4 linked regions of the Drosophila melanogaster genome follow. The protein of the gene in region 4 interacts with the protein of the main gene of each other region in a pairwise test. Each region holds a gene or a part of one and is shown on either strand. Other genes may lie near its edges.

Evidence for each region.
Region 1: the proteins of fuss (region 4) and wor interact in a two-hybrid assay, tested with the Drosophila melanogaster proteins (one large-scale study listed by BioGRID).
Region 2: the proteins of fuss (region 4) and CG18599 interact in a two-hybrid assay, tested with the Drosophila melanogaster proteins (one large-scale study listed by BioGRID).
Region 3: the proteins of fuss (region 4) and CG2875 interact in a two-hybrid assay, tested with the Drosophila melanogaster proteins (one large-scale study listed by BioGRID).

What each region holds. Positions count from the first base shown.
Region 1 is NT_033779.5:15,420,672-15,428,469, reverse strand, and holds wor (worniu), read left to right. Parts: upstream 1-2,889; 5' UTR 2,890-3,039; coding exon 3,040-3,127; intron 3,128-3,189; coding exon 3,190-4,748; 3' UTR 4,749-5,173; downstream 5,174-7,798.
Region 2 is NT_033777.3:18,262,455-18,271,672, forward strand, and holds CG18599 (uncharacterized protein), read left to right. Parts: upstream 1-5,334; 5' UTR 5,335-5,610; intron 5,611-7,030; 5' UTR 7,031-7,102; coding exon 7,103-8,021; intron 8,022-8,138; coding exon 8,139-8,647; 3' UTR 8,648-8,718; downstream 8,719-9,218. Other genes in the region: Vps39 (vacuolar protein sorting 39), read right to left, coding at 8,926-9,218.
Region 3 is NC_004354.4:3,569,016-3,576,609, reverse strand, and holds CG2875 (uncharacterized protein), read left to right. Parts: upstream 1-2,987; 5' UTR 2,988-3,104; coding exon 3,105-3,242; intron 3,243-3,306; coding exon 3,307-4,015; intron 4,016-4,077; coding exon 4,078-4,607; intron 4,608-4,609; exon of another isoform or gene 4,610-4,670; coding exon 4,671-4,787; 3' UTR 4,788-4,809; downstream 4,810-7,594. Other genes in the region: ppk8 (pickpocket 8), read right to left, coding at 4,810-5,066, 5,136-5,944, 6,230-6,378, 6,552-6,855, 6,916-7,106.
Region 4 is NC_004353.4:973,195-981,222, reverse strand, and holds the start of fuss (fussel), read left to right. Parts: upstream 1-2,733; 5' UTR 2,734-3,016; intron 3,017-3,961; exon of another isoform or gene 3,962-4,457; intron 4,458-5,187; exon of another isoform or gene 5,188-6,118; intron 6,119-8,028.

The sequences.
Region 1 (7,798 bases), on a different chromosome or scaffold from region 4:
TTTTATTCGATTATAATTACCGTTACCGTGTAACTTCGGCCAGATAATAATATCGGATTTCAAAAGCGGCGTTTATGCTCGCTGACCTGAAGCTTCCCCCGCCGTATCAGGCGCCAATAGTTCTAAGATCTTGTTTTGATTGCAGCTCGGTCTGGGCGACATCGCATTTTTCTTGTATTTGTCTTGTATTTCTCCCGCATTGTCTGCTCAGTGGCTTGAAAAACCTTCAGCTCGTGACAATGTGAGACAAAAGTCGGCGTGTGGCTGGGACAAGCGGCCTGGATCGAGATCGGATTCGTTTTGGATTTCTGCATACTTCTCTTGGACGTCTATTTCGCCGCCCGACTTTCTTTTGTCCGCTCCCGAGCGCAGCTGCAGCCAGCAGATACACAGATACTCGGATAGTTTGAAGTTGGATGCCCCGATCCGCAGATACTCGCTGCCTTGCCACCTTGACGGCGGCAAATTAATGACATTTTGCACTTCATTATGCGACTCTGTGCGGCCGTTTGACACTTTGAAGTGAGGCACTCAGCTGTGGAGCAGTGGAAATCTGTGTGGGACAGTTAGCCTTTGCGGTTTACCTGCCAGGTGATGTGCAGTTAGCTTTTCCTCGGCGTTCCAGGGTTTGATGACACTATCCGCATTGTTGCAAATCTGCACTCTTCGAGGGCTGGCCAAGCAGAAGGTGAAATTGGCCATGGTCAGAATCGAATGATCATCGGCAGATGGCTGGCTAGTCGCACAATTGAGCTGTGATCATGGATCAAGATGATGGATGCACATATTTGAAATGTATTATAAATAAGAAAATTAAGGGTGTATTTAAAGAAAGTAATTCTGATTTAATACTTGGTGAAATCTTTTTATTGGCAGAAAATCCGATCAGAAACAGAATATTTTTGTTGAATATTATTGTATATTGTAGAATGCTTAAATATACATTAAAGAACTCGGGAGACTTAGCACTCTAATTATGGCAATCTCTAAAGGTTTTTTGAATCTTAAACACTTCATAAAAGATCAGTATCAGATTTTTTGATCTTAGAGTATTGAAGGCATAATTTGCTTACCCTGAATTAAAATTTCATTATAAAAGATGAGCCAACGAAGCATCAAAGACCGATTAATAGTTTCTCAATTCCAGTTAATTATAATTCAAAAATCACTTTTCAATGTACCATCAGAGAACATTTCCTATTGTTACAAGGATCACAACACATCCCGGCCAGCTGAGTTCGTTACAGGATTTTGGCGCCAAATACCCGTGGCATGGAATAATCAGTTCCAAGACGAAATCAGTTCCTTGTGGTACGTGTCACAGTCGGCAGATGTGGGAATAGATGATGATCGGGGGGTGCGACTCTCCTTGCAAGACGCTCGACGAGGGGTTGGCTAGAAAGTAACGTCCAAAACTGCAATTCCACCACCATCACCGGCTTTATTCCGACGAAGGTTGTCTGGTGATGCCGTGGATTTTGGGGTGGGACCACTGCGCCAGGTAGATTTGCACGAACCTCTCTCTTTTGGCGCATTCCAAGGCACTCAGCTCCGTTCGGAAAAATAAAGCCAGGTAACTGTCCGGGCACATGCCCATTTTGGGGTGGATTGGAGGTCGCTGGCAGATGGCGGGATTCTTTAATATCGGGAATTGAAATTTCATGGCCGTTAGGGGGTTATTTCTGCCGAGTGCACCGATACACGAGGAGGCGGAGAACCGGAACAATACTCTGGGAAAGGTTGATTTACCTTAGATCTGCGCGCTGTTTGTCCTGGTGATTAATATTTTTGTGGACGTCTAAGTGGGTACATTGCATTGTAGCTTGGCTCGATTTAATGGCGGAGCCAATGTCACGTGCTGATCCTACTCAGCTGCCAGCCGGAGAGGATCGCTCCGATAAGGATCAATTGGAATCCTAAGTGCTTCTTTTCTTCTGTAACAGCGTGCGATTTTATACAACAAATGAAAAGCTTTGAAAGAGAAAATAGAACAACTTTCCTGTACCTTTATTGTAATATCTTCTATCTTAATGATTTTAATTGAGAACGTTTTAATTATTATGGTATTTAAATATTTGGGCATAATTTCCTAAGTCGAGCCCCTGAAAAATCTTCACACTCTCCGATCAGCAAAGTCAGCCGAATATGTGATCGTTTAAGCTCAGCTCAGAAAAATTTGAATAGTAAACATAATAAGAAGCTTAAGAAAACACAGCTGAATTATCCTCCGAATAGCACAGAAAGCTATCTCTTAAGTTCGTGGGACGACTGACAGTTGGAACAAGAGCGCCCCAAAGAGCGAAGAGAGTTGAAAATTGTGGGGTACGAAACTTCTCTTGGTGGGGCTCCAAAGAGCATGCTCACCTGCTCACGAAGAGCAAACGTCCATTAGGCTTATATACAAAGCGATCGTGTGAGGCGGACCCGAAAGAGGCTTATAAATAAACTTGATCGGGTATATAGCAATAGCAAGCTCGCCACCAGCTGCCGCTCACTCATACCATTGAAATTCAGGGGAAATACGAGCTGAACCAGAGAGGCAGCTGGTGGCGATCGGCGAGTGGAACGGAGAGAGTCCCTGTGGCACGTGCTCGCTTTTTACACACAGATTTGTTCCTCTCGTCTCCAGGTCCCTCCCTCTCTCAACGATTCTCTATATGGCAGTGGTACCCCCGGACTGCCCGATCTGCAGCTGTATCTGCGTTCAATGAACGCACAGCTGTGGCTCGATCGCTGAATGGATCTTTTGGCTCGTGGTTCGGGGTGGATTTACAGAATCCCGGGCGACATCGGAAGTAGGTAGACGCCAAGATCCTTTTTGCCCAGGGGGTTGATCATCCTGCCAGGGGGTTGATCGGGAGTCTATAAAACCGGACTGATCCTTGCCGGGTTGCATCATTCGAGCAAGGAACTCCAAGCGATCGAGACGCGTGTGGCGAAAGCAAATGAGTGAGCAGTGATTTAAGTTCAAGGATCGGTATTAAATACAAAATCGAAGATCAGTGATCAGTAACCATAAGGAATAATAACATAGCAACCATGGATAAACTCAAGTACAGCCGCTGCCCGCTCAAGAAGCGTCCGATAATGGTGGAGGAGTCCAGCCCAGAGGATCACCTAAGTCATGGTAGGTTTAAGGCTACGGAAGTGATTTACAGGCATATTTTAACTTTATGCTGATTTCAACAGATGAAGGACCAGTGGACTTGAGTGTGGCCTCGGCTGCAGTGCCTATGGAGCCCCATTGGATGGCTAAATCCGAACCGGAACCTCAGCCGGTGCCCACGGAATTGAGGCGCCGCTTCGATGCAGCCATGAATCAGACCAAGGAGCAGTTGGCCCGTCGCATTTGGGAGGAAACCCGTGAGATAGCCCGCGCTTTTCCGGATGTCTTCACCCGGGAGGAAATCGCCAAGAGTCTTGCTCGCCTGGGTTACGGCGAGTTCGAGTTGCCACCTGAGGAGGAAGTAATGGAGCCGGAGCCGGAACCAGAACAGCATCTGCCTCTTCGATATACAAGAGATGCTAGCCCAACCATCATCAAGGCTGAACCCTCTGATGAGGAACAATTTCCCCTGCGAAACTACAATAACAACCTACTCAAAAGCATAGCCGAGTATGAGGACTGTATGAAAATGCAGAACATCAAAGAGGAGATACCTCCGATTCCATCACCCCAGTTGTTCTATCCACCCCCGACTCCACTGGCCGAACCGGAGGACCTATCCGTAACCCAGAGGAGAGTGCTGAGCGAAAACATGAATCTGCAGAATGTGGCCAGAGCTTTGCTGAGCATGCAACACATGGCTCCGCAACATGCGCCGCCTCCGATAGACATGGAAGAGGATCAGGAGAATCAGGACATCAACCAGCTGAAGATCAAGAGCAGCAATGATCTGTACTACCAGTGCCAGCAGTGCAACAAGTGCTATGCCACCTATGCAGGATTGGTAAAGCATCAACAAACGCACGCCTACGAAAGCACCGAGTACAAGATCATTAGAAGCCAGCCTGGAGGATCAGGTGCGATAGTCGACCAAACCGAGTTTTGCACGGATCAAGCTTCGGCTTTGATTCAGGCAGCTAATGTAGCCTCAGCACAGAGCATGCAAAAGCCAGTGGGAGTGCCGCGATACCATTGCCAGGATTGCGGAAAGAGCTACTCCACCTACTCGGGACTCTCTAAGCACCAGCAGTTCCATTGTCCGTCGGCCGAGGGCAATCAGGTGAAGAAGGTCTTCAGCTGCAAGAACTGCGACAAGACCTATGTGTCCTTGGGCGCCCTGAAGATGCACATTCGCACGCATACCCTGCCCTGCAAGTGTCCCATCTGCGGCAAGGCGTTTTCGCGACCATGGCTCCTCCAGGGTCACATACGCACCCACACGGGAGAGAAGCCCTTCAGTTGCCAACACTGCAATCGGGCCTTCGCGGATAGGTCAAATCTCCGCGCGCACATGCAAACCCATTCGGATGTGAAGAAGTACTCGTGCCCCACCTGCACCAAGTCCTTCTCGCGTATGTCCCTGCTGGCCAAGCACCTGCAAAGCGGTTGCCAGACTGAGCAGAGTGGAGGTCCCAGTGGGTCAGGAGGGGGCTTTGATCAGCAGCAGCTACAGCAGCACCTCCAGGTCTACGAGGAGGGACACAATCCACACCAACTCTACTACGCCGGCAGTGTGGGCAGCAGTAATGGTGAAGAGGAGGAGGGCGGGGAATACCAAATGCAACCACCGGCCATTTATTAATCTTAGTCAGTTTAGCCAAAGTCAGAAGTCAGATTCAGGGAAAAGTCAGTGCCAAAAATTAGTCAGGGCAATTTTATTGCCTCTTAGGGTCTCTAGTTTATCAGAAATATTTATTTAGAGTTATCGCTAAATTATTCCAAAACTCATATCGCAGTTGAGAGCTTAGCATTAGATTGTTTTCGTTGACAATTCCTTGTATTATAGTTCGTTGTTAAAACTCATTCGTGTACAAATCAAAAAGGTGCCAGATAATTAAGCCCCAATTCATACGACATACCTACCAACTTATAATTTAATCTTATAATTTATTTTACCTTAAACATTATGATTTAAGCCTTGTAAATATGGTGAAGGTAGCCATTTACTTGCATGTATTTAATTTTAATTTTTTTAAATAAATAAAACACAAGAAAACAGAAACCACCAACACATTTAGTTTTTTTGAGTTGAGGTAAACAAATTAATTTCCCTCATTCTATTACTTTACCTATCGGACGAACGGTTCGAATCGCATCGCAATCTAAAAGATGCCATCTCGGATATGCATTGTAGGTGTCGTTTATTTATCGCTGCACTCGAAATGAAAATCCACAGAAATCGAGACATTCAACCGTCAGGGAGACTCGATGGGGGGTTACAAAGAGCTAGGAAAGCAGTCTATACATATGAAGCCGTTTATATGTATGTATAGAAATGTATTGAAAATCGCTGCTTAAATCAAAATTAATTGCCAGAATAATAATTGTTTTGAACGTAAAGCGCCGAAATGCAAACGGCAAACCAGAGGAGAATTGGCGCAGCTGCAATTGCAACTGCAACTGCGACTGCGTCACCGTCAACCAGCAACACTGCAACTAGCAACATCAACAACAGCAGCAGGCGGCAAGCGCCAACAGTCTAGTATTTTTGTGGGCCTGCTGCAGTTGGCGAAATCCACTCAAAACAACAAACCAAGCGATGAATCATCGATTTTGTTTTCGGTTTTTTTTTTTCTTCTGTTCGTGGCAAACTGAAAAAATCAACAAAGCCGGCTTTTGGTGCAGCCGCACGCAGCTAGATGGCGCTAGTGGGCAGCCAGGTTGCAGGCAGGTAAGCTCAATTAAACGCGTTTTTCAGTTGCGCCGCTTTTCCGCTCTACAGCCCAGCCGCACCTTACTTTATATAGCGAAAAGAACCCCACCCACCCTGCATCCTCATCTGGATCTCAGGCAAGCCGCTCAACTCACTCGCATTATTATAAAAGCCGTCCACGCAGTTTCTAACGCTCCACAACTTCCAGTTTACTTTTTGTTCATAAGCTGTCTGCTCTTACAAGAACTTGGAGACTTACAAAATCAGATGCGATTCGCTGAATATGTGTTATATCTCTCATTACCCAAGTCAGTTTACATGTTTTATGTTTTAGCAGCTCTTGTAAGCATAAATTGCGAAACTATCATCTTCCTATAAGACTTGAAATCTGTGTGTAAGTCTTCTTGTTTTTTTCTATTTGTTTAATTATTTTAGCCCATTGTGAGGGTATTCCCTGATACGTTTTTGCCTTCACTTGCTTCCGATTTCGGCTTGGGCAAGCGGTAGCTTTTTGGTCTATTAGGAAACCACGCCATAGAGCTGCCACTTGAAAGTCATATTGCATTTGGTAGACAGCACTCGCCAGAACCGGGGACAGCCTGGTTTTCTATAAGGTTTTTATTTTGATTTTGAGTGCGCGTGCTGCTTTTTCGTCGGCTCCAAGTGCCACGCCTCTTTTGGAACGCACGCGGTTCTCTGGTAGCGGCATTTGGTCAAAGGTTAAATGAGACGGCGGCCTGGTGACAAGTGCCAGGCAATCGTTTAGAGCGCTAATTTATGGGCCGTCAAAGCGTAAAAAAAAATCAAAGTCCCAAAAACAACCGAAAAGTGTGTTTTTCACTTTGCTCGAGTTTCGTTTATTGCGGCTACGTGCAGAGTTGGCTTAATTGGCAGTCGGTGTAACAGCCAGCTTTTCCGTTGGCCAGCAGCACACGCCCTGTTCTTTTTCTAATTTTGGGCCCGGCTTCCTCGCCATGGCAGTTTAATTAATCTTCGATCGCCTCAAGTTCGCTTTAAATGCATTTTTAAATGCATTTTTGCGATAAAAATTATTATTATTTAAATTCAGATATTCAAGACACGTTTTACCAGCTCGTTGGCCATTAATATTTCATAATTTCAATCGGCACATGAAACAAATTATGGAATATTACCTGGCGCCGCAGCTGTACACATAGACACCAGGCATTGTTTTTGCCTTTGTTGTTGCTTTTATCGGGTATTGGTAATAATACTGTTGTTGTTATGGCCACTAAGCTGTACGTGTTGTTTGTTTAACGCGCCGAGTGTAAATTAATATTTAATTATGATTGTTCTCAGCTCGGGCCGCTGATCGTGTGTTGAGTAAACGCCATTTTCTGTATTAAGATCTAATCGCCGTGTTTCTCAAAATGCTGCCAACAACAGAAAACGTTTAGGCTAAGTCACTTGTGCCTGGGTATTGGCAATCGATTTTCGCTCTCGCTTAGATAAGCCATATTGGGAAATGCATAAAGGAAAAAGTTTTGGATCATTAAGTCTTAAAGTTGTTCTTTATATAATTTCTTGCATGTATAAAGAGCAGTTCTAGCCGGGTTCCATCGCTTCCAGCGACACACCATATGTGGAGGAGTGACCCAAGTCGGCTGACAGCAATGATTAGCCACGAGCACGGCAATCTCGACTGTTCATAACTCATGACACCACACACACACACACAACACTTCGACGGAACTGGCCGAAAATGCGACTTGGCCAAGTCATAAATTCGATGCCGTGCACTCGTCGACGTCAAATTAATCAAAAGGAAACCAAAATGCAGCGCAGGCAAATTAGCCATAACAAAACCGAAGCGAAACCGACACAGAACCCAGAAAAAAAAGACATCAAGTGGCAAAAGCCAAATGAGAACTTTTTTCCCACACTGCCAGGCGATCAAAGCGAACCGAGGAACGGATTCGACACAAGAAATATGAACCTTCTGAGCAAATCACATGCAG
Region 2 (9,218 bases), on a different chromosome or scaffold from region 4:
TCAGAATCAGACCAAAAGTTCTAAATTGCTGCGGGATTACCTATTTAAATTTTAAACTTAAAAGAGCTTCTATTGTCTTTTAATATGCATATCTGTTATCTGGATTGTCAAATAAAATGTTGCGTTCAAAGTCAGTTTCCACTTGGTTGCTATTTGTAGACTTTCTTATTTCTTCCAGAATCACACCTTTTTAAGTTTTATTTTTATATTAAACACCCGCAAAACTCAATTAGAAATATTTCTGAACTGAACATATTAGGCATTCGCATGTTAGGTGAATATAACATATTGAACAAACCAGAGTCAAAAATCATGAAATACCTTCAACTTGTAAACCAATATTAAGGAGAAATCCCAAGGCTAAGCGAATGCAAACTCAAAAATGGAAAAGTTTATAATAGAAACTTTTTTGATGAAAAATGCTCAGTTTAAATTACCTTTCTATATTTAATATAATTTTTTTACATAATAGTTATTTTACCTGTAATAATCTGTACTATAGATTATATGTTATCTTTTTTTAATATAATATAATCTAATGTGCATTAGCCTTCTTTTGCTAATCAGAATACAACAATATGTTCAATTTGACATCATAACTAAAAACTGCAAGAGCACGATTTAAGCTCCTATTAGCCAGAAATCTGCTTCAGTGCAAGGATTTTAATTAAAATCTAACAACCCGTCTTCCGCTTAACGCAACAATATGCAATTAAAAACGCAGTTATTAGTGCTGCTGCGAACATAACCAAATAAATTTCCAATTAAAACATTGAAAAGCGTAACCGTAAAATGTGATTAGGTTTTACATTATATTTGCGCAACAGAGAGATGGAATCAAAAAATGGAAATTAATTTTTGGCGGAGCGAAAAGCGCACGAAATGGGGCCGAAAATATTTTTGTTTCGAGTGGCTCGCCATCAGCGCATCTGAGTGCAGCAGTAGTTTTGGCCAAAAACCCAAACGGCGGGACCAAAACTCATTTTGAATATGGCCAACAGCGGGCTGTGCATACACACTCAAGTGGCAGAGCGGCAAAGTGGCAATGTGGCAGCAAATGCGGCGGAAGAGCCACCGGAATAGACGGATTTAATTAAAATCGCAAAATTGCCGCCCTTTCACCTGATTTGCTGGCCGTTTGTTGTCCGATTTTGAGGGCAATCGAAAAATTTCTAATTTTCCGCTCATTATAAGTTTTGATGTTGTAATTAGTTTTTGAATGGGCTTTGATTTAGCACGTTGAGAGGTCTCTAAAAATTCAATAGCCATAAAGTTGAACAGGGCATCGCATGAAGCGATTCGAGGCCGTAAAAAAAAAGAGATTAACATTTCGTATATTTCCACCCATAAAAGGAATGTGGTGCAAATACATAGATCAAAAAGAAATGGATGTGGGGGGAATGCGGAAAAAATACGGCAACAAATAAAATTGAGGAAAATCAACATTATAAACAACATTATTAAAAACATGCCGCAAATGTTTTGCTCCTCTCGCATTTTTGAGTCCATTTTGTTGTGAGCCAGTGGCCAAGAAAAAGGGGGCAGCCCGAACAAAGGGGGCGCCTCCGATGGGCAAGGAGCAAAAGGGGCTGGCTGGCTCAACCTCATGATGATGTTCTGCACAGCAAATGAATGCTGCCATTCCGAGGGTGAAGCCGAATCATGGGCAGAGGGCTAATAAAATTAAGCCCTGCCAGGAGGTACAGCCAAGCAGGATGCGAAGGATGTGGGCAGCAGAGGATTAAGTTGGTGGAGCAGCTTAGGCACTTTGTTCCTGCCAAGATGTGTGTGTGTGTGTGTGTGTGTGTGTATATGGAGCTGTGTGGGGATGCTGGGGCGCCTGTGCCACAACGTCGTGCGGCTCCATAGGAATAAAAATATTTCATTAAATGAGAAAGGATAGCAGGAAACACGGACAAAGTACAGAAAGTGTTCTTTACGGCTCATTTAAAGGATGGTAATATAAAATATATGTTCGGATATAATTGATATGAATGCACAATTGAATGAATAAACAGTTAGACAATTAATGACTTCTGTCAATCGAATTAGTAAATATACATTTTTTTGATAACTGAATGTTTCTATGTATTAATAAAAACTCTGAAATTAGTCGAATAATAATAATTTATTCAATGTAAATATTAACGTAACTAAATGTCATTGTCCTTGAAAATTAATCCATCTATGTACATATATGGTGTACAAATTGGTATTCCTGTATCTCATGAACAGCTAAACTCTAAGCCTTCCCTATTCTGCCCTTTCAATTTAATTTCCATTTAATTCCCTGAGTAATATTAATATTTTTACAACATTATTATAACTCATACGCAGTGTTGCCCATCAATGGAGCCGTAAAGTAGGCAACCCTGTACTTTTAGCAAGCCCCGCGTTGCAGCCCTGTGCGAGGACTAACAGTAATTTTATTTGCCCGTTTGCCGAGGGGCCCTATGGCCCCTTTTCCTATTTCCTGGCACTTTCACCGTAATAATTCATAATGAAAAAAGTTTTCCTACCGCTTGTTTGTGTTTTATTTATTAGATTACATTATAATGTTTGTGTGCAGGAGGGGTTTTTATTAAATAAAAATAAATAAATGTTATGGTTATGGCAACGCTCCTCTTCTCCCTCGCCCCCTCTTCTCCCTTTACCGGAAACGGGACATCATCATCATTACGCCTCTCATCTCATTTTATCTCTCGTCCACAGGGCATGAACAACAAAACCAACAACGAGAACGACGACAACGAAGTTTATCAAAAGGCCAAAAGCACAACAACAATGGCGTCGGTGGCAGAGACCCCCACTTACCCACCTCTCTTTAACTCTCTTTCCTGCCACTTAAGAGCATGCGCGGTGCACATTAGTATATGTGGGTTTGTTTTATGAACGTGTTGTTTTTGTTGTTTGCACCTCGAAAAAATATTAAAATTGTGGTAAATAAATGGAAAATAAAATATGTGGGTATATAAAAAGTATTTATATATGTATGTAAGCATATGTGTATTCTGTTAGTTAAAACTGATTTTCCGCTCACTCTCTCTCTCTCTTCTTCTGGCACCACTCTCTTTCGCTCTGCTGCGGCCGCCATTGCTAAATGCCGACGCCTGCGTCGACGTCAGCGTCGGCGCCAAGTGGCTGGCCAATTCTTGTGGGTACATTAGCACTAATGATGATTGAAACGACAAACGTGACGCCGAAGCACCCGAAAGGATCCTCTCCATCCCCAGCTCGTTGCCAAGCTCCAGTTCCCAATTCCACCTCTCCGTTTGCCCTTTTTTGGCTGCAAATTCCTGGCTGTGATTTTAGAATTTGTCCCTCTTTGGTTTTTTGAAAGATGAGACGAAAGTTGGACATTGAGGGAACAAGGCAATTTGTAACAATTTGGTTTTTATTTTCTTTAAATACCGTAAGCTTGGTCGATTTACCCAAATTAAATCGTTTTAAATGTTATGACGATTGCAACTGCATAGCAAGCAAATTCTTGCAGTGAAAAATCATCTACTACTTTTACTATATTTTATGTACATACATTTAAAGTTTCTTCAAAGCTAACGGATTACATTTGTTTTATTTTTTTGTGTGTAAACTCGCCATTTGCTTTGTTCTTTTTTGGCATTTTCCTTGTCTGCCCGCTCCACGTGCTCTTGCATTGATTTACTTTGATGGGCCGCTAATTGGGGCCTCCTTCGTCTTTCCATTTCCGTTTCCGCCAGTTTCGCTGGCTCGTAATGATCGTTGGCATTCCGGGTAGTTTATCAAACGGTAAATTGAACACCCGTTTGGCAGGCAAAAGGGTGGAGCCAAGGGGACGGCTAATTGGGGTTGGGTTTGGGGTTGACCTGCGGCTGTAGATAGTTCGTATTGCCAACTTAGTTTGGGGATTTGGGCCAAAAACGTTTCCAAGACTTAATACTACTAACATCGGCCAAAAAGGACCATAAAATGAAATTGACAAAGTTTATTTACTGATAAGTCGTAAACTGAAATACTAAATCTAAAGGTAATTCGACTCTGAATTGCACTTCGACATTGAATATCATGTTGTATACAGTGAAAATTTAACTAAATTAAGATTTAAAACAAATTATTAATGTGCGTTGTTTTGTCGATTTTACCTGTCCAAATTTAGATATTTATACTTATGATGTATCTACGATGTAATTTCTTAGCTTATTGCTTCATTAATTATGTCTATCCCCACATAGCCCTGCCCCAGTGGCTTTTCCACCTATTCACAAAATATTAATAATCCAGCGTCGCCATATTGTCCCGCAATATTTTCCGACTGCTTAGGTACCGCCCATTTGCCATGAGCGAGGGAGACGCTACCAGTGAGCCAATTATCCATTTATATCATAATTTCAATAACTTTTTATACACTCGCCCTCGGAAGGGAAACGGGTGTTTACCAATGGGTGTGTGGGCAGGGTTGCTCTGATAGGTGGGTGGCTCGGGTGGCTGGTGGTGGATTGCTCCCTTTGGTGGGTGATTCCTTTTTATGTAACTGCCTGGTGGATGCTCCTGAATAATGACGATGACTATCAACGATGATTATGATGACGATGATGATGATGAGGCTTCGGTTGACGATGTTTTTATGCCTCAGCTACATCTCATCTCCTTCTTTCCTTTGTTGGCTCTTTCAATGGCTCTGATCTAAGCTGAGTGCAGGGTTGTCAACTGTAGCAAAACAAAGTCATGGGCGAAAGTCTAAAAAGGAGATTTTAACGCTTTGCTGTTTTGAAGATATTGCTTTTAAAAGACAAATAATAAATCTATATCTTTCGGATGTGTTGTACCAATATGTTTTAAAATATCATATATATGAATGTATAATAGAGAGACTTTCTAAATGTACACTTTAATCGTTCAAATGCTTAGGAACATAATAGATTTAAACTAAATTAAGGTACAAATAATTGTAACAAATTTAATTATAAAAAATTAGGTATGTACATAATTGTGTCAAAAACCAAGATACCAAGATTATTTAAAACAATTTTTCATTTAAATTTAATTCTGTTTTCGTTAGCACAAAAAATTAAATGTATTCATGAAAACGAACAAAGTTCAAAGCACTTAATTACTAGTTAATGAATACTATTAGTGAAAGTTTTGACAACCCTGGTTGAGAGCAAAAAAAAGCCAAAGGAAAAGCGGATAGAAAAATCACAACGGCAACTCACGCACACCCACAAAAAGAATCACTCACCCGCACACAGACACAAACAAGCGCACCGCAGCAAACAGAAAGCAGCGCTGCCAGCTTCGCTGCCGGCGTTCGCTGCCGATAATGTAAAAATTTTACGGCCACGAACTTTTAGTTCAGTTCAGTTTGCAACACGTTCGCGTTCGCATGTGTTTCCGGCAGTTAAACTTCCGCTCGATTTTCTATTCGATTTCCGTTACTGCCGTTGGGCGCAGAACTGTAGGCAACACTTTTTGCAGTGCCGTCGGAAAAGCAAATTTTTCAGATTGAAAACTGTGTTCGTGAAAATAATAGTGAAAGTACTGAAAACTGATTAACTCACGCTTGGATTATCTTTTGAGTTGATTACATCTGCAATTGAAATCAATGTAATTAGAACTTCATTGGTTTAGAAGGTTTGTAACTTTTGCAATTTATAAGAATTTTTGGCCCAAATCGAGTTCCGTCGGCTTTTTAATTCAAGATTACTAAAAAAGATTTCTGATTTTGGATATGCCATTAAAAGAATTATTTGAGATTTACCAGCGTTGAGCTTGTAAACATAGCAATAATGTATAATTTATTATGCCCAATATTTTAAAATGCATTCAATGCTTAAAATTTTATAACGGATTCTCTAAAAATTTATCATTCAGCTAAAATCTGTATGTTTCAATAAGATAAATACCTAAAATTTTCAATACAAAATCATATTTATGATAGCTCAGATGATAGCTTAAATTTGATTTAAAGTGCTTATATGTTTTTACAAGTTTCTTATCGTTATTAATTTTTTTCAAATTGAACAAAGACTGATAAATGAACATGAGTGATTAGAAAGATACAAAATAGGATAACATACTAGCTTTTCTCTCAGGATCTAAGCTCCACAATTAATGTAGCTAGAAATTCACAGCCGGAATGTGTGTGAAATCCACTTGTTACACCCAAATGGCATTCTCCTAATGAAGCTCATTTGGCCCGCACACGACATTAGCCTCGCATATTTAGTCAAATCAGCTTAAATGCAGCTTGAGACATTCGCATATTTGGCCTAAAGCACAAACAATGAGCGACAACAGTGCTGAGGACTTGGGATGGTGCTTCACCTGGGAGAGCAACTACATCTGCCACAATGAAGCAGCAACTGTGACAAAGTCTCAATTAGGCTATCACATTGCCACAAAACGATTCAGGTTTGGCTTACCTGGGCAAACACAATGCATGCGAGCGAGAGAAGCTGGCATTAAGCAAATTATACACTTTTCAAAATTATTCTACATAAGCTGATATTATAAAATTTTAACCCTTGTAATGAATGCCAGAAATAATGTACAAAAAGGATCCATTTTAACATTGAAATATAGAGTTATAATTCTAACTTATATGCAAAAGTTGCAGATTCCTCTGTTGATTAAAAATATTAAAGATCCTTTAAAAGAAAATTTACTTCTTATAATTAAAGATATTGTTCTTATTTTAATATCTAATTTGATAGGACCATGTTTATAGACGATTGTAAACTAGAAATATTGGTATTGTTAACCTTAGATACTGTTGTTTCTACTTATATTAAGTTAGTAATACTTCAGTTCCAAAATTGTCATTGTGTAGGGAAAGTCATCAAAAGGTCCGTCCCAACCAGTTGTAGTTCCATTGTTCCATCTCCCACCACTTAGCTGAGCTGACCAAGCACTTCATGGTAGAGCAACTTCTTCAGCCAGCGATCACATTTCACTTAATTGTGGATTTAATCGGGGAGTCGTTGACACCTGGCAGCCACAGAAGCTCCACAGCAGAGCAACAATTAAACAGAGGCATTTCTCCCATTTGCAGAGCGACCGAGAATCCCGGAGGCCAGCGGCAGAAGGCGGACGACAACTCGGAGACAGTGGCAAATACCTAAGCATGCTGCAGAATCCTTCCAAATATCACGCAAATCCCTTGTCGCACTTCCTGGCATTGCATAACACACAAGCCAGTGGCGGCGGCAGCGGCGGGGGATCGTCGGTCGCCGGACTTGGAGGTTTGGGTGGGGGCATTCATGCACATGGTCAACCGCATCATGCAGCGCTGGCAGCGGCTGCAGCAGCGGCGGTCGCTGTCTCGGCGGGTCAGAGTTCATACCAAATGGAGCACCAGCAGCAGCATCATCAGTTGCAGCAGCAGCAGCAGCAGCAGCAACATCATCATCATCAGCAGCTGCACACCCACCACCAGGATGGCCACCACCCACACCCACCGACACCCACCACCGGCAACAACAACAACAACAGCAGTAGCAGCAGCAACAGCAGCAGCCACAACAGCAACAGCAACCACCGGGAACAGTTGGCGGCGGCGGCAGCCACTGCGACGTCGCACGCGCAGCTCATCGAGGCGGCAGCGGCGCATTCCTCCCTCGACGTGGGCAAGTCCTTTACCATCGCCGCCATTTTGGGCCTGCAGAGCCAGCGCAAGGACTACAACAATGCCATCAATCTCTCCCTGCACGACAACAACAACATCATCGGTGACGACAACAACAAGTGCTACACGAGCAACCCCAACAACAACAACAACAACAACAATAACGGCGGCAGCAACAGTGGCAACAACAACAGCAGCCCGAGTGTAAACAACTTCAATTGTGATAGTGTCGCCGGTAATGGACGTTACCTGCACGGCGGACACCAGCATCCGCATCCGCACCAGGCGGGATTTGCAGCGGTTGCCGCCGCCGTCGGAGCAGCTCCCTCCGCCCTGCAGAGCCTGCAGCAGCTCCACCAGCAACACCACGCTCAGCAGCAGGCCACCCTGAGCTTTCAGCGGGAAAAACTCAAGTCGGGTAAGCAGGTGTTTCAGTCGATGAATAACCCATGATTTGATCATAAGTGGGTATTAAGTAAACATAGTGTGTGCACATCTAATACCTCCATTTGATCATCATTTTGTGATTCGGCAGATTCTCACAAGAAGAGCGCACTGAAGAACAAGCGCGTCCGGACAATCTTCACGCCGGAGCAGTTGGAGTGCCTGGAGGCGGAGTTCGAGCGCCAGCAGTACATGGTCGGCCCGGAGCGGCTCTACTTGGCACACACCCTAAAGTTAACGGAGGCTCAGGTGAAGGTGTGGTTCCAGAATAGGCGGATCAAGTGGCGCAAGCACCACTTGGAACTGACACAACAACGGCTGGCATTGATAAGGCAAACTCAACTGCCAGGTACATCGTTATTGGGCAATCAAGTATCCGTGTCGGCCAATGCGGCCCATTCTGTGTCCACGGAACGCACAAACGGATGCAGTGCAGCCTCGCCCAGCCTGCAGGAGGAGGACAACGAGGATAGCAAGCACTCGCTGTCGCTTTCGGGCGCATTACCGCCGTTGAGTCGAGCGCAGTCCGAGTCGGATTTGTCCATCTGTAACGATTCCCTGGACGGCGACAGCCTCATGGACGGCAGCGAGGAGGCCTAAAAACCACGCCAGTGCAAAGCAAGTTTCCTGTAAATATAGTCAAATAAATATGTACAATATCGGTTTTCTATACTTCTGCTTGTCTTTAATTGTTGATGATTAGCTGCAAGTTGATTGTTACAATCAATCAATGCAAACTATATTATATTGTATAAGCATTGCAGTATATCCATTACATACGAGTACTGAAAAAGCTTATTTAAAAACAGAATAATACAGACATTTACACTCAATTCGCACTTTATACCTTGATCAGTTATCACATTGGAGTATTTCACTTATTGCTGAGCAGCCGCCCTGGCGAGCCGATCGTGGCAGGATAGGTGCACGATGTGCCCATTTGGATAGCGCACGAAGGCGGACTGGGTTTGAAAACGCTTCTTGCACTCGGAACACACACTAGACTCGTTTAACTCGAAGCTAATGTTTCGCTGCTCCTCCAAGGCATTCTCCAGGCGCGTGGACTCTGCCTCCAGGAAGCCGCACATCATCTGCATCTCGTGCTTGTCGGCCATCATTTTACGTATAGATTTCTCCAAGTATTTCTCCAGCTGGGGCATGGGCATGTCAT
Region 3 (7,594 bases), on a different chromosome or scaffold from region 4:
GGGCTGTTGAGAAGAGGGGAGTTGTTGGACGGAAAAGGGCAAGGGCTTCAAAACAACTTGACTGACTGCACTTTATGGTTCATTTTGCATGCCTCAGATGAGCCGAGGCCTGGACCCCGGAACCTAGAAAAAAAAGGAAAAAAAATTGAGCAAAAAACCAAAGGCTTCAGTTACATATAACGCATGCCAGCGCTTTTCCTTAGCTTTTCACCAACCCCACCCCCCTCCACACTGCGCCTTGTGACTATGCGTTTTGGTATTTTTACTGCTGCGTTCCCATTTGCAAGACAGAGAATTTTGAGTTGCTTTTTCATTTTTAATGCCACATCTTGGTCGCTTGGACAATGTTTGCTAGAAGATGGAGCGGGGCGGGGCTAAGGATGCTGAGGGGGCTGTGGGGGCGCGGCGGGACTTCAGGACTTGTGTGCCTTGTCCTTGCCTGCAGCGTTAAATTCTTGTTAAAATATTATGAACAACTTTTTGCACCATTCCTTTTAATGCTTTAAAAGGAATCCCGGCCAAAGAAATCTCGACCCCTAGGCCTTTTGGATTTTTTCGAATTTTGTTTGGTTGCCATGGTGGTTGGTCAAGTGGCAAAATATAGCTTTAAATGATACCACATCAATGTTCTTTTGTAACTTTTATCAATTTGTAAAATAAATATAATAATTTTGTCTGCTTCTCCAACGGAATTAAAATCTATTTGTGTGCATTGATATTGATATGTTTTTCAAATAAATATTTCAGAGGAATTCACACCATACGCCAGATATTTTTTAAAAGATCTCCTTAAAGAGTTTTCCAGTGCAATTAAGCAAATTTCTTTAGGGGAGACAGTTGAAGTGCGCAATTATTTCAGTTGATTTCACCTGAATTGACGCGACTGCCGTTTGCTTTGTGCCAGGTCCTTAACCAAAACACTTAATGGCGACCGCCCGCCCATGCATTCAGTACCTGCTGCTCAAGGACCCCGATTTCACCCACGCCAACGATTCACGGCCATGTCGCACCTAATTAGGCCAATTAAATTTAGCTGCAAATTACACACGTTAAATGTGTAAATTAGGGGGGGTGGGGTTTCCAACTGAAATTGAAATTAAATGCATGTCGCATGTGAGGCGCCTCGCATCGCAACGCATCGCGTGCTAAAGCCAGATAGCCTGGATACCTGGATTTTGATTTGGATTTGATTTTGGTTTCGGTTTAAACGGATGCACTGACCGCGCCCGTCAGCCAAGGGATACTTAATTCGCTGGCAAAGTGGCAAGTGCAATGGTGTCACGACAACAATTGGATTAATTCCCGCGAGTTAGTCATTAAAGTGCGTAAAGTGAAATTCTATGCACATGACCTTTTTCAAGTCCATTTGTACACTTGACTAAGATTTAATAACAATATTAAAACTCAAATATTTTGTATTTAAATCTGGCACGCCAATCTGTGTCCCTTTTTCTGTTTTTTATTTATTTTTTTGAGAATCTTTTTGGGTCTCATCAATCAAATGACAAACAAAAGCCGCTGGACTAGTGAATTTAAACTGTCGCCGGATGTAGAGGTTCATTAAAGGAAAACAAGGGGAAAAGGTGCAAAAATCCCAAGCCTCTTTTGGAGAAAAGTCTCACTTTCGAAGTTGGTTTTAATTCAATTACCGGCTTCTTGACTCAATTTCCGCCGCCAGTAGCAACTCACCTGATTTGACTGCTCGAAATCGCTGGACAGTGGTAAACTCAAAAAAGAAATCAAAAAAAAAAAAAAAAAAAACCAATGGAAAGGTAGGAAAACTTGGGCACAAAAAATACGGCACGGTTTTTGCATTCACTTAAAAACTTGTTGAAGTAATTTGTTTCCCTCTGCTTGTTTATATTTTAGGCAAACATTCTTGTTTATATTTCATAGAGCACATAAAAAAAAATCAAGAACAATTGTGAATTGTTTTTTTTTTTTTAATGTACAATACAATTTTAAACTTGGATTTTCCCGGATTTTTAGAAATGCTATCCTTAGCCCGATTTCGTAGGATCCTTTCTAGTCCGCCACACAACCGTCGGTCAGGACATTCGCCAGCGAACTACGCGCCATCCAAATCGAAACAGTCGCAAGTGGGCGCAAAACCAAAACACAGGACGAAGTCACAGCCGAAGGACCCGAAGGATGCGCGACTCGAGTTGAGCGTTTTCGAACGTGGCCGCCTACGACAAAAAAACTCAGCATATTTTAGAATCTTTATTTTATTATTTCATGAAATATTACAGTACTCGCAATCACAACAACAAAAAGAGTTGGGATTTTATTATTTATAAATTTTATTTTTAAATGAAAACAATTATGGAATCAGCATGTCAACATGTTCAAATATTATAAACAATTTTTAAGATAAGAATGCACTAATATGGCTAATATATTTTTGCCTTAAAATATAAAAATTGAAGTATAAACAAAATTTATTTAAAACATTTATTTATAATTAATTATATGTTTTTTCCATATGCGGAATTTGAAATTAGATTCACTTCAAGTTAATTTTCAGTGTTCCCAACGAAATCGAAAAGAACGCAACAGGCGCGCATGCAAATTCCCAAAGGAGCAACAAAATATTTGTAAACAAAGCGGCTTCGTTTGAGAGACGAAAGCGAATTTGAGCGCAAAAGCGCTGAGTGAGACTCAAACTTGAGTGAATTTCGTTGTGAATGAAAACGTTTGCAAAGAAGTATTGTTTTAAATTAATATCGCAGCTGAATTAGTTAAATACACAAAAAATATTTATCTTTCGAGAACTTACATTAAATAAAATTCACAGTTATGTTTAATATGTTTATTATTATAAATATGTTTATTTCTTAAATTTTATTTTCCGCTTGGCGCCCTAGTGATGGTATTTTTTGAACTGCCAGCGCGTGCAAAATATCGATAGGCCCAAGCGTGGTATATGACCAACTCTGGGTTGTAACTAAAAAATACCACACAAAAATCTGGTTTAAAAATACCTTCTGTTTAGCGTTCTCCGCTGATCTGGCAACTCTGTGGAAGCACGCGGCATAAATTCATCTTATTTTTGTTTGTTGCGCATAATTAATATGTTTTAGCGTACATTTGCCAAACCGAAAATGAAACCCTTAACTGTGAAAGTGAACGATGACACCGGCAAGTCTTTGGCTAAGAAGAAGCTGCAGTCCAAGGCCAATTCCCTGCTAAATGCCGAGCAAGTGGACATCAAAACGCTCAAGGGATTCGTACAATTGCTGGTAAGTTTAACAAATTAATAATTAACTTAATGAGTTAAATGAAATTATTATTATCTGCACGCAGAAGAATACGCCCGATAATATGCCAGCTGGCGAGGTGATGAATACACTCGAGGTGATATTCAAGAATCTGCTAAAACGAAAGGCAATCGACGGCACCGAAAAGCAGGGTCTCAAAATCAAAAAACTGTACGAGGAAACTTGGTTGCTTCTCATCGAGAATCTACTGGTTGACTCGCAGTGTTCGGTTGCTGTAAAAGTGTGCATGCAGCTCATCAAAGTGGAGGCCAAGCATCCCATAGCACCCAACAAGGGTTGGCCCACCTACTGGATTCGCGGCATGCTGGAAACCCTAATAAATAGCGATACAACGCCCACAACAGCGCTGGCAAACTATGGGAAATATTGCAAAAATCTCGATGTATTAGAGATAACCCTGACGCAATTGAAATCCTTAGTGCCCGATGAAGACTTCAAGGACAGCCCCATTAAGGCCATGAACTTTCTATCCATTGTAAACCTCTTGGATATGGGAAAGTCTGTGCTGAGCACGGCAGATTACCACGTGGAAAGCGCCAAAAAGCAGACTTTTAACTACGAGTTAAATCGCAAAAGACTGAATAATCTCTGGGCGACTATTATGGCAAAGGGCAACGAAGTGGACGAGAAACTGCATCGTCAAATACTTGTGGTGCTTCTGGAGCGCGTAATCAACCACCTGAACGATCCCATCCAGCTGACCGACTTTCTCATGGACTCCCTCCATCAGTTTGGTTGGTATTTAGTTTTCCGAAACTGAACCGATCCTTTCTAACGACTCGTTTTATGTTTTCAGATGGCCCCATTGCCTTGCTGGCTCTTCAGGGAATCTTTACGCTTATGCAAAAGCAGAATATCACCTATCCGGATGTGTATGAGAAGCTGTACAATATGTTCTATCCACGGATGTTCCACAACAAGTACAAGGCACGCCTGTTTTACTTGGCCGATATCTTTCTGACCTCCACCCATTTGCCCGAGAATCTGGTGGCGGCATTCGTTAAGCGTCTCGCTCGCCTGGCCCTTCAATCGCCGACCGAAGATGCTGTTATTATGATTCGATTCGTTTGCAATCTGCTATTGAGACATACTGGATTGCAGAAATTGATTCGCGCCAGCCATGCAGTCGATGAGGTCAGCGATCCTTACAATCAAACAGAAACGGATCCCGTCAAATCGGAGGCCATAAACAGTTCGCTGTGGGAAATTACGTTGCTGCAGAAACACGTTGTACCAGAGGTGGCCAATGCGGCACGGTTTATTAACTCATCGCTGCCCGTAATGGAATTCGACTTAGCACCCCTCTTGGACAGAAAGGAATGCAATGTAAGTGAAGAAATCGAATGATTTTTTTTAATATTGATTAATATAAACATTTTGCTCTTCTAGATTTTCGACGACGAATTACAGTCGAAGGCCAAACAATTTGCTCTGAACTACGAACGTCCTACCAATTTGGCTTTGCCTAAAAACCAATTCGTGACCAAATACTGGGACCTCATCTAGATTAGTGTTACTATTGCTAAGTTTAAGCAGGATTAAAGTGCTGCCTGTTATTGGGCTGCTGATGTGCCAATTCGGCCTGAAACCAATCGGCTGCTGAAATGTATCTGATGTTGCCAGGAGTCGGACTCCTCTTTAAGTTCATTTGATGCACCCTTGGCTGATTAAGTTGTCGAATCTCCGAGCAAGTGCGACAGGGACGAATCAAGGCGAAGTACACACACTCTGCAATGGATAGAAAGCTGAAGCCGAGGAATAATCCCATAAGACCTCCAACGCCAGCTGCAGGATTGTACGCAATTTGTGTGAATTCTTGTCTGAGAAAAAACAACAGGTAAATTGAAAACTCACATAGAAAATCGGAAAAGCCTATGAATTCGGTCTGTTTGTTTGCTCGGAATGTTGGGTCCTTAAAATACATATTCACCACCGCTACGCTGCGCTCCACATAGGCATCGGTAAAGTTCCAACCACCATTCGAAGGTGTCTCCCTAAAGCCGTCCAGCGATATTCTCGTCGAATAGGCAATTGCGCTGAAACTGAGATCGAAACACGATGGCAGGCACTCGTCAAGACATGATTCCATCGCTATTATGGTTCTAAATCGAATAAGCTCCACACATTCCCTCTTGTGCAGTGGGCATATAGTATCGTTCGCATTCAATCTGGGCATATAGAAGGTCACACAGCCGCAGTGGCGGATTAGCCAGCCGGAAAGGCACTCGGCCACACAATTTCTCTGGGTGTAGTGGGCGAACCAGCGAAGTTTTAGCTCATTGTGGAATAAACAACGCCTGCTCCGACGGTCCACATTGCGTAGATGCTTCTCGGTAAGAATTTTCGACGGATCTATGCGCAACTTGGTCTCCATTCCGGGTGCCAATAGGACTCCGGTCTCCCGGACATTCGGCGATTCATTCGGGCTATGCAGGGCGATCTTGAAGCCAATGCTGCTGGATGAGGAGCAGTAGTAGGCATCCGCCTGGACATCCAGGGTCAGCGATAGTCCCAATGACTCCCCTGTTCCTTGGGCTCGTCGAGGGTAAAGAGGATTATCACCGTCCGGCTGAAAGCCTCGCTTGCGATAGCCCAACTCGGCATGCCAATTGACTGCATGGAATCCCTCTGGCAGACTTATATTCCGATGCGAATAGGGAACTCTTTGGGGGATTATGTTTGAGAAAATGTAGCATTCGTTAGTAAGTTTGCTTATCGGAGTGCATTTCTTGGCTATCGTTTGGAAAGCTGAAACCAAAGTCATAGCCTAGCCTAGGGTTCGCAACTGACAAAAAGCGGGCTACAAAGTTTTCATAACTTTTGAAAAGGTTGGAGCCCAGAAGTATGCTACGCAAACAGCTTTTTCAAAAGCTTCATCTATGGATGGTTGGCGAAATGAAGGAGCTGAAGATATCTTAAGCTTAAATAAATATAGCTTTTCCTCTCACCTTTTCCGGTACATAAACCTGGGATGTAGCATATTAAAAACACAGCACAGACCTTCATCGGTCACGATGGGATGAAATAAACGTGCACATTCGTAATCATCGGCGCCAAAACGACAGTGAATAACCATTGAGTTGCAGGGCTGTGAGATCTGTATGATTAAAATAAATAAGCAGACAAGATATTGCTATTGCAAAAGTATCTGAAGGATGCTCCTGAGATATCCAACAGATAGCACGAACTTTTTGCTTGTTTCCTATCCAAGATTATCCAAGATGTCGAAATACATATACCAAATTAAATAGATTTGGAAACGTTTCTTACATTCAGTATGAACTCCTCCCAACGGGAATCGTTGGTCTTCACCAGTTCAACGTCCACCTTTCGCCGACAGAGCAACTGCAGCATTGCGAACTCCACGGAATCGTTGGAAAAATGTTCGACCCTTTCGGCGAGAGCCTGATTTAAATTGCAGATTGTCACTGCCGGAAAAGGCTCGTTGGCAATGGAAGTTAGCTCCGGATCGATGCCCACAATAACCGGATTCGTGTTCCATTTATCGAAGGCGTCCTGTATTAAGTAAATGGCGAGCGATAGCACAACTAAAAGGGCTATACCGAAAAATAATCTTCAAAATGATGAATGTTTAGCTTAAACTTATCTATTTTATAATTTCAATTTTCAATACCTATCACTGCTTCGCAATTTGCTGTTGTTAATATATTTTAAACCATGGATTGTGGTATTGCGACAAAACTCGTCCGTATTTCTGGACAAGATTCTGCGCCACGTGGATAGCGTGATCTGCAAATGTTGTGGCCTAGATCGCTTTTGCTGACTCGCAAAGAAAGCCCTTTGTCGATTACGTGGCACTCGCATCTTTGGTTAAAATCATACTGAGTTGTAAGTCCCCAGTACTTCTACTTATTTGTGCCCATTTCCATTTGCAAATTATAAAATTTGTTTATTTAATGTCATTTACTTGGCTGGGCAAGCATTTCGTATATTTTGATATACTTACGCTTCCATTATAACATATACATCAATAAGAATTGCTTAGCTTACAAATTGAACTGAATGTTTAATAGTTTTATTTATTTTACTTAGGTTAACGTTTCGCCAACGTGTCCTGCCAACTTTGAGCCTCGAATGGTGGCAATGCAATTAGAGAATTTTCGGACGCAAAGGAATGCCTCATTAGGAGAATCAGAAACAGAGTCCTCAACCGTCACAGGAGCCCAAGTGAAGTCTCGGCCAAAAAGTGGGATCCCCCAATCGAAGCGGGTGAAGTTTGAGCCGGGCCAAAGGCTCAAGTTTGCTACAATCAACATGGTCAAACGCACAAATGGCGAATGAGATGGTAGCTG
Region 4 (8,028 bases):
TATCTGTGTAGGGCACGTCTCTGCTCGGGTGTTTAGTGTAACGATTTTGACCTCTTTTGTTTGTTACAATACCTTGTCGGCATCGGCTGTGGTTTCTAGTAGAATATCCCACTCTTTGTTATCTAAGCTGTACCACAGGCCCGTCTTTCATTCGTGATCTTCAATTGTTATCCATCTTGCTTTTTTGTCTGACCTTAATCAGATGAAATCTGTGGCTGACGACTTTTTTTGGAGCCAGCTTCAAAATTAGGCATTTCTAAATAATAACAAAAACTTCAAGCGGCTGTTATCAAGTATTGAGACCCTTTTATTTGTGTCGACGTTTAGATAATGAAAAGTATTTATTCCGTTTTCACATACACCAAGATAAAATATTACTATGCTAAATCCAACTATAGAGCACTTCATTAAATTAAGAGGCACTCCAAACATATTTGCTTTAATAGCCTCAAAAGCTGAGCTACCTTTACCATTACGGAAATATTTTAATAAAAACAAGGGAGAATGCTATAGCCGAGTTCCTCGACTATCAGATACCCGTTACTCAGCTAATATGTGCGAACTCAAAATTTCATATTTTTTCTGGGATATCGATACATATTGGGGAATAAAATAAGAAAAAATTTAAAAATTGTTCAAAAGTGTGGGAGTAAGCGGTTTGACGGCCCTTAGGGGTTAGAGAGGGCGGGGCAAAAAGTTGTTTGGCAAATCGATAGAAATTCACAAGACTAATAAAATTATGAAAAATATACAACCATTTTTTATAAATGTGGTCGTGAAAACTTTGTGCGGTTTGTAAAGTTTAGACTTGGCGTGTCTAAATTAGGAAACCAACTAGTGCTGCGTCTATGCTTTTTGGGTTGAATGCTTATTCTAAGCTTTTAAGCTCCTGAACTTTGGACGCTCTTACGAACGGAAGGACGGACGGACAGTCGGCTATTGATCCTAACCTTGCTAAAAACATTTTCATTTCACCGAACCTAATATACCCTTTTAGTATTCGGGTAACGGGTATAAGCCAAGACTAAAACATATTAACAAATAATGGTAAAATAGCTGAAAGTCCTTCACAAAACAATGGGAAGAATTTTGTTGACGTAGAAAATGAACGCAAACCAGGGCTGCTAAAATTTCCCACCGTGGGCAACGCATTAGTCCCATTAAACGATGTTGCCATCCTTATTTCTACACATATTGGGTGTTGCCATTACGCACTTTGCAGTTGTTTTGAGTTCCCGTTTTGAAATCTACACAAGTACTCAATTCTAATCGATAATATAATACAAAAATTTAACAAAACATGTGTAGGAATAGAGATGTCAATTATTTTCAAGTAAAATTTACTAGGTTTGAGTCGTAGCTTTAACATAGATAACATCAACAGAAAAATGCTTTCATTTTTCCAGCCATCTAGGCACATCTGTTTACATCAAAGCTCTGGCCAATCCACATTAAGCAACTGAGAACGCCATAGTAGAGTTCTCGGGCTACCAGATACCTGTTACTCTGTTAATGGAAGTTCGAACGAAAAATATCACCAATTTTCTGGTATGTCAATTTGAATAGGGAAGAAATAATAATATTAAAAATTTTTTCAGATATGTGACATTTTGGGCGGTTCATGAGCAACTCACAAATGATTTTGGTACATCTATAGAAATTTTCAAATCAAGTACTATACAAAAAACAAAACATTTTTCAACAGTGTGGGCGTGGTAGTTTTGGGCGGTTTGTGGGCGTAAGAGTGGACGTGGCATATCGATAGAAGTTTACAAGATTAATAAAGTGATGAAAAAATTCAAAACAAATTTCAAAGGTGTGGGCGCGGAGGCGTTTACCTTTTTTGGCGTGACAACATCAGGAAACAAACTTGCTCTGCATATATGTATGTATCTGGAAACTGCATGCTTACTCTCAACTTTCTAGATTCAAAATTCCTGCGATCGAGGCTCATGCGGACAAATCGACTCGGCTGGTAATCCTGATCAAAAATATATATGTATATATTTCGGGTCGGAAATTCTTCCTTCAACCTGTTACAGATACACATACTCGGTTAGTAAGAGTACGAACGAAAAAGTTAAAAATTCGTTTTGGCGTATCGATAGATACGGAAGGACCAAAATTGAAATAATTTCAAACTTGAAATTTTTAAAAAATATTTTCATGTTGTAGTGTTTCTCAATTTGATCGATATTTTACAAAAATTTTGAAATATCGAACTTGACTATAGTGTTCCATCTCGGTTTTACATAGAACATTGACCGTCCTACTCTTAAGTACTGCTATAAAATGTCAGTTGTATATGAATTGTGTGAGAATGAGCTCATGTATTACACACACATCCTTTAACTCGCCAATTAAATTCAATTATCGTTACCTAAATTCGTTGGTGAAGTTAATTGAATAGAAAGCAACATTTAACATTTCAATTGTCGCTACATACCTGTACAAAAACAGGGTTGATACCACAAACTATTATATTTAGAAGAGCGCAGGCGCGTACTTTTGGAAACGCCCTGGAAATTAGGATAGTTGATTCTTATTGGCTCATTTTTTCTAGTATGTATATATATATATCTTCTTCTGTGGTGTATCATTTGCTTTCGGTCTCTTATTGGCTATAAGCAGGATTATTTTGTTCTTAGACTTTTACAATCTGGTATCGGTATCGGTTTCCCACTCCTGCTGCTTTTCTTTAAACGATGTCAATACCAACGAATATGGTGTTTCATATTCAGTTTTCGCACCTATTTCGTGTTGGAATAATCTAGTCCTCAAAGAAAGTAACTACTGTGTTAAATTTTTTAACTAAAATCGAGTATACTTTCTTTTATCAAACTATAAGATGTAACTTCAATAATGAGAAATATTACGTATATAAAATATACGTTCCAAATATATTATAAAAGTGGACCGAAATCTTAAAACAAACAAAAATAATACACACAATTTAAGAAACTTCACAAAAAAAACTGTGTTAATAAGGCGAAATGAATCTAAACGGAACTTGAACGTAAGTCAACAAGTGTTAACAAATTTATCTAACAAATATAGAAAATACGCGCACAAATGTTCATAAAACAAAAAGTTCGTCTGACCCCACATCATTAAGGATTTCCTAAATATTTAAATTTTAATGTGGACATAAGGCCACATAGTGACGAAATAAACATTTTGGTTGGTTTCTCTGTCTGTCTGCAACAAAACGTTATTTTAAATTTCGAAAATAAAATCATTAGTTCGAAAAATCAATACTTACAATCGCTTAAAACAGTGCAAAATGTCGTAAAAAGTCTATACCAATGCGTATATATTCCATATAGCATAAACAAGTGTAAATTGTACTCTTCGGTAAATTGTATACGGTAAATCGGTAAGTTGTATACTCCTTCAGAACATTGAATACTATCTGGCTAAAATGTTCTATAAATTGTATACTAAACTCAAAATAAAACGTAATCGAGCTTATCGGTTTAAAGTGATATTTAAAAAAATATATATTGTTTTATTTATTCTTATATTTTTGTACCCGTTAGTCGTAGGATAAAAGGGTATATTAGATTCGGTTAAAAGTATGAAAGGAAGTGTTTCCGACCATATATTAAGCAGGATCGAGTCGGGTCGATCTGACCCTGTCCGTCTGTCCGTATGAATGTCTCGAGCTCAGGAACTGTAAAAGCTAGAATGTTGAGATTGAGGATGCAGCTTCCAGAGACATAGACACATCGACACACACAAAACTGCTACTCCCACACTTTAAAACCGCCCAAAATGCCACGCCCACGCTTTTGAAATTTTTTTTCGTAATTTTAGGAGTCTTGTGTATTTCTATTCATTTGCCAAAAAACCTGTTGCCACGCCCACAATAACGCCCTAAAGCGTTAGACGCGTTTGCGACGCAAACACTTTTGAATTTTTTTAGATTTTTCTTTGTTTTATTGTTTGTCTTGCGAATTTTCTGAGTCTATGGCAGCATGGATATTCACAGCCATTTTATTCACTTTAGCAGTTTTCAAAACACAAAAGCCAAATAGATATAGTTTAGTGCTGCCCGCCTCTGGCACGTCTTGTGGAAAGTGTAGAATCTGTTGTAGATGCAGGACCACTGGGCAGCGACCCTTAGTGGTATTGTAGTTCCTGTGGTGCTTCAACTTGGTGTAGTTAATCAGACAGAAGAACGTCATGCTGGCGACGGTCAGCTGGAAGAAGGGAGCGATCACGGCGCGCTTCGGGAACACGTAGTTGTACTGCCAGCGCCAGCATGCACGGTTCACGGCTCCGGCCACAGCGTTGGGCGTCTTGTTGCGGCGTCCCAGCCAGGCTTTACCGTAGAAGCGAGCGGGGTCTTAGGGCCCGTGCACCTTGGGGTTGTACTCACCTGGATAGTCACCAAATGACACCGCGTTCCTTCGATACTGACAGTATGTACAGTTTGTCAAAAAACTTTTTACACACTGTGAAATAGGTTGAATTTTTGATTTTAAAGGTAAAAATTAAGGGTTCTTTGCTTAATTAAACGCAATTTTTTATAAAATATAATTAAACAATATTTATTTTTAAGTCAAAAAAGAAATTAAAAATATTAATTATACAAGAAAAGAAAAAACAAATTCCAAGTTTACACAATTTTGAGATTTATAAGTAAAATAAATATTCGACAATTCACAAACTATATGTACAAGTGTGAGTTAGTCTTGCGTATTTTTATCGGTATACCAAAAACACTGTGGCCACGCCCCTCCTTTGACCTACAAAACTCCCAAAATTTTCACGACCACACTTCTAAACAATTTTTATAATTTATATGACGAAATATTTTTTTGTTATAAAAAGGGTTAGTTCTTTCATATTTGCAAAGGGGCTGTTTAATGTTGCTTAAACTTTTAAACCTGCGATGTTAGGGAATTACAAGGGCTCTACAGCATTAAAAAAAATTCGTGATAAAAACGTATTTTTTTGCTGAGTTTTTTATTTCTTGTATTGTTTTTAAACAACGGGTGACGAAATATTGCTATTGCCGTTACTCATATACTCATTTCGATCTAAAATTTGGACAAGATGAAATCGTACTCAGCATACGCATATCGAGATCGAAACATTTTCAGTGTGCAAATAGCTATCGAAATGAGAATGTCTTCTCGATGTCCAGAAGAAGTCGGTATCGAGAAGAACCGATCTCGGCTTAGAGAAGATCCGATCTCAGTATAAAGGAGAGCCAATCTCGCTTTTGGGAACAACAACATTCTTTTTATAGTTATTTAATCAATAATTTAACTAAAAAGAAAAAAGCATGACTGTTAATTTAAAACAAACCTTGTTTGGTACATCCCCAGGTGACTTTGACAATGCTCCTGGCGAGGCTTATCAAACCTCTGATGGACATCGGTCTTCTTGAAATATTACACTAATTTATTAATAATTTATTTATTTACTTAATTTCTTTAAGCAAATGTGTAAAGCAAATTTGTGAATATGTCGAACATTCAAGAAAAAACCAATGCATACACATAAATTATATTAGGTGAATATTCCACTCAAAGCTTATTGTTAATATATGTACATGTGCACCTATGTACATAGTCGCAAGTGTGAAGCACATGCATTTATGTACATACTTACATACTCACCCGATGCCAAAAATTGTAACACTTACTTACAGATGGAGAAGGGCCGGCACTTACTTTATACCACTACAGGAATCTTAAAGTGGAATAAACAAAACAACTCGCATTAATAGTACTCTCGGCTAGTAATCATCCTGGTGGACGCTATTTGTATGTTTTAGTCATCGGTTTAGAAGAGATATGTTTCACCTGATTCGTGTAAATACTACACATTTCTAAACACTAGGGAAGTGATTTCAAAGGGCATATCAAAAGTCTTAAAATTGAACATTTCTTCGAACGATTGCCACAAATATACGAAGTTTGATTTTTTATGTTCTTTACTTTCATTATAGAATATACAATGTACATATGTTCCCACATTAAAGCGATAGCGAAAACTTATCGATTGAGATCACTTGCGAGTTACTGATTTAAAATATCAGTATATATATATTCACTGTTTCCACGGATACAAGCCGTTTGTATCAAAAGCAAAATAATTAGTCAAGGTAAACTCAATTATCCGCACATTTCATTTTCAAATGTTAATCGTCTAGCAATTTAACCCAATTAAATATGCATGATGTTTTACGTGTAAACAAAAGGCCATCACGGGCACCGGTACCAGCAGCGGCAATCTGTGTTGTAAAGTTTGCCCGCCCCCAAAAAGAACACCTATTATTTGCCTGTTGACAGTACCCACTCAAGCGAATTATTGCCAACTCATCAGTGGGTATTTTAGTCCATTTTTTATCTACCCCAGTATCTGAATATGTATCGTCAAAAGGCATATGCTTCTGAAATCAACCCCCGGAACTTCCGAAAAGTAATCGTTTTCGATTTTAATAGGCCGTCGTATACGTACAATTGGATGACGAGAACACACTTCCCATTTGAAATATGAAACCTGGACAATCAATTGAAGTGAAAGTTTGAGGCACTCCCTGGTGTAAACAACCACTTAAATTAATTAGGGATAATTGAATTCACGTTGCAAATGCGGTTTGCACCTTTTAATGTCGAAGCTTACAGATTTGAATATTTTGTCTTTATACTTACACCAAAAAATATTTACAAAAAAAAACTTTTGCGATTTCTTGTATTTATTTCCTTTTCTCCGACGGCTGCTGTTCGATATCACTGCGGACGGCTGTCCACGTTGTGACGAAGCGCACGCTGTTGTCCGATAAAAATGTGTTAAATTAGGAAGGCAGGTGAGAATAGTCAATTGTCAATTGTTAAAATTCGATAAGCCAATCAAAATATATTATCAAAATAAAATTTGTTCAAGCAAACATGTAGAAGGAAGCGATTCCGACACTATAAAATACAAATATTCCTGATCAGGGTCACTAGCCGAGTCGATCTGAGCATGTCGGTCGGTCTGTCCGTATGAACGTCGAGATCTCAGGAACTATAAAAACTCGAGAGCCTAGATAAGTTTGTTTTCTGATGTTGCCACGCGCATTCTAGCACCCAAAACCGTCCACACCCTTGAAAAATGTGTTGACATTTTTCCATTTCATTTGTATTGTTTAGTTTTATTTGTATGCCCATTCCCGGGTAACGGGTATCTGGTAGTCGTGGGACTTTACTATAGCGTTCTCACTTGTAACATATAAAATGTTAATATAAAATTTGAAGGTTACTCTCACAAACAACCCCGCAGTGCGTTAAACCTCAGGCACTCGTCCCTGCTTATTCGATTTGTATCGAAAGTTTGAGTACATCTGCCAGATTGTTAACAATCTGCCGTTTTTCTAAATACTAACATAATTTTGTCATTATTTACCTCACTGGTTTGTAATTCGTTCAACCCTCGGATTCTCCAGAAGTTAAGGAATACCGTAATCATTTGTTTCGCCTGCCGTTTGCAATTTATCCGTGGGCATGTAGTAACAAAGGCATTAAGCTTAACAATCTGTACTTTATAACTTTTTTGCTAACCTTATTATCTCTAACGAAATGGTCTCCAGGGACAGGCTCCTTTTCAATTATGCTATTCTCACGCATTCTATAATTGAATAAGGGAGTTTTCACGTTACGAATAAATTTGTAGTAAAAGTTAATACTTATGTAGTTAGAAAAATTTCACTCTTACCCATGCTGAGGGTATATTGATTTCAGTCAGTTTGGAACGCAGCGAAGTCCTTCCGGTTGCTTCTCAGTTTTCAGCACGAAACTTTCCCCGTCTAATTTATATTGCAGGTATTTTATAAGTCGTAACGGGACGGATCGGATTACTATATCATATAGGTGCCATAGAAGTAAGCGGAAAAAATGTAAAAAAAAACTTACTTTTGTTGTATTAGATAATAATTTAATTCGATATAATTCGCGTTTTTGGCAATTCACAATTTTGGTTTTAATTTCAGCTGGTTTATAATTCAGGCGTTGTAGGAATAGTCGGAAAATAATT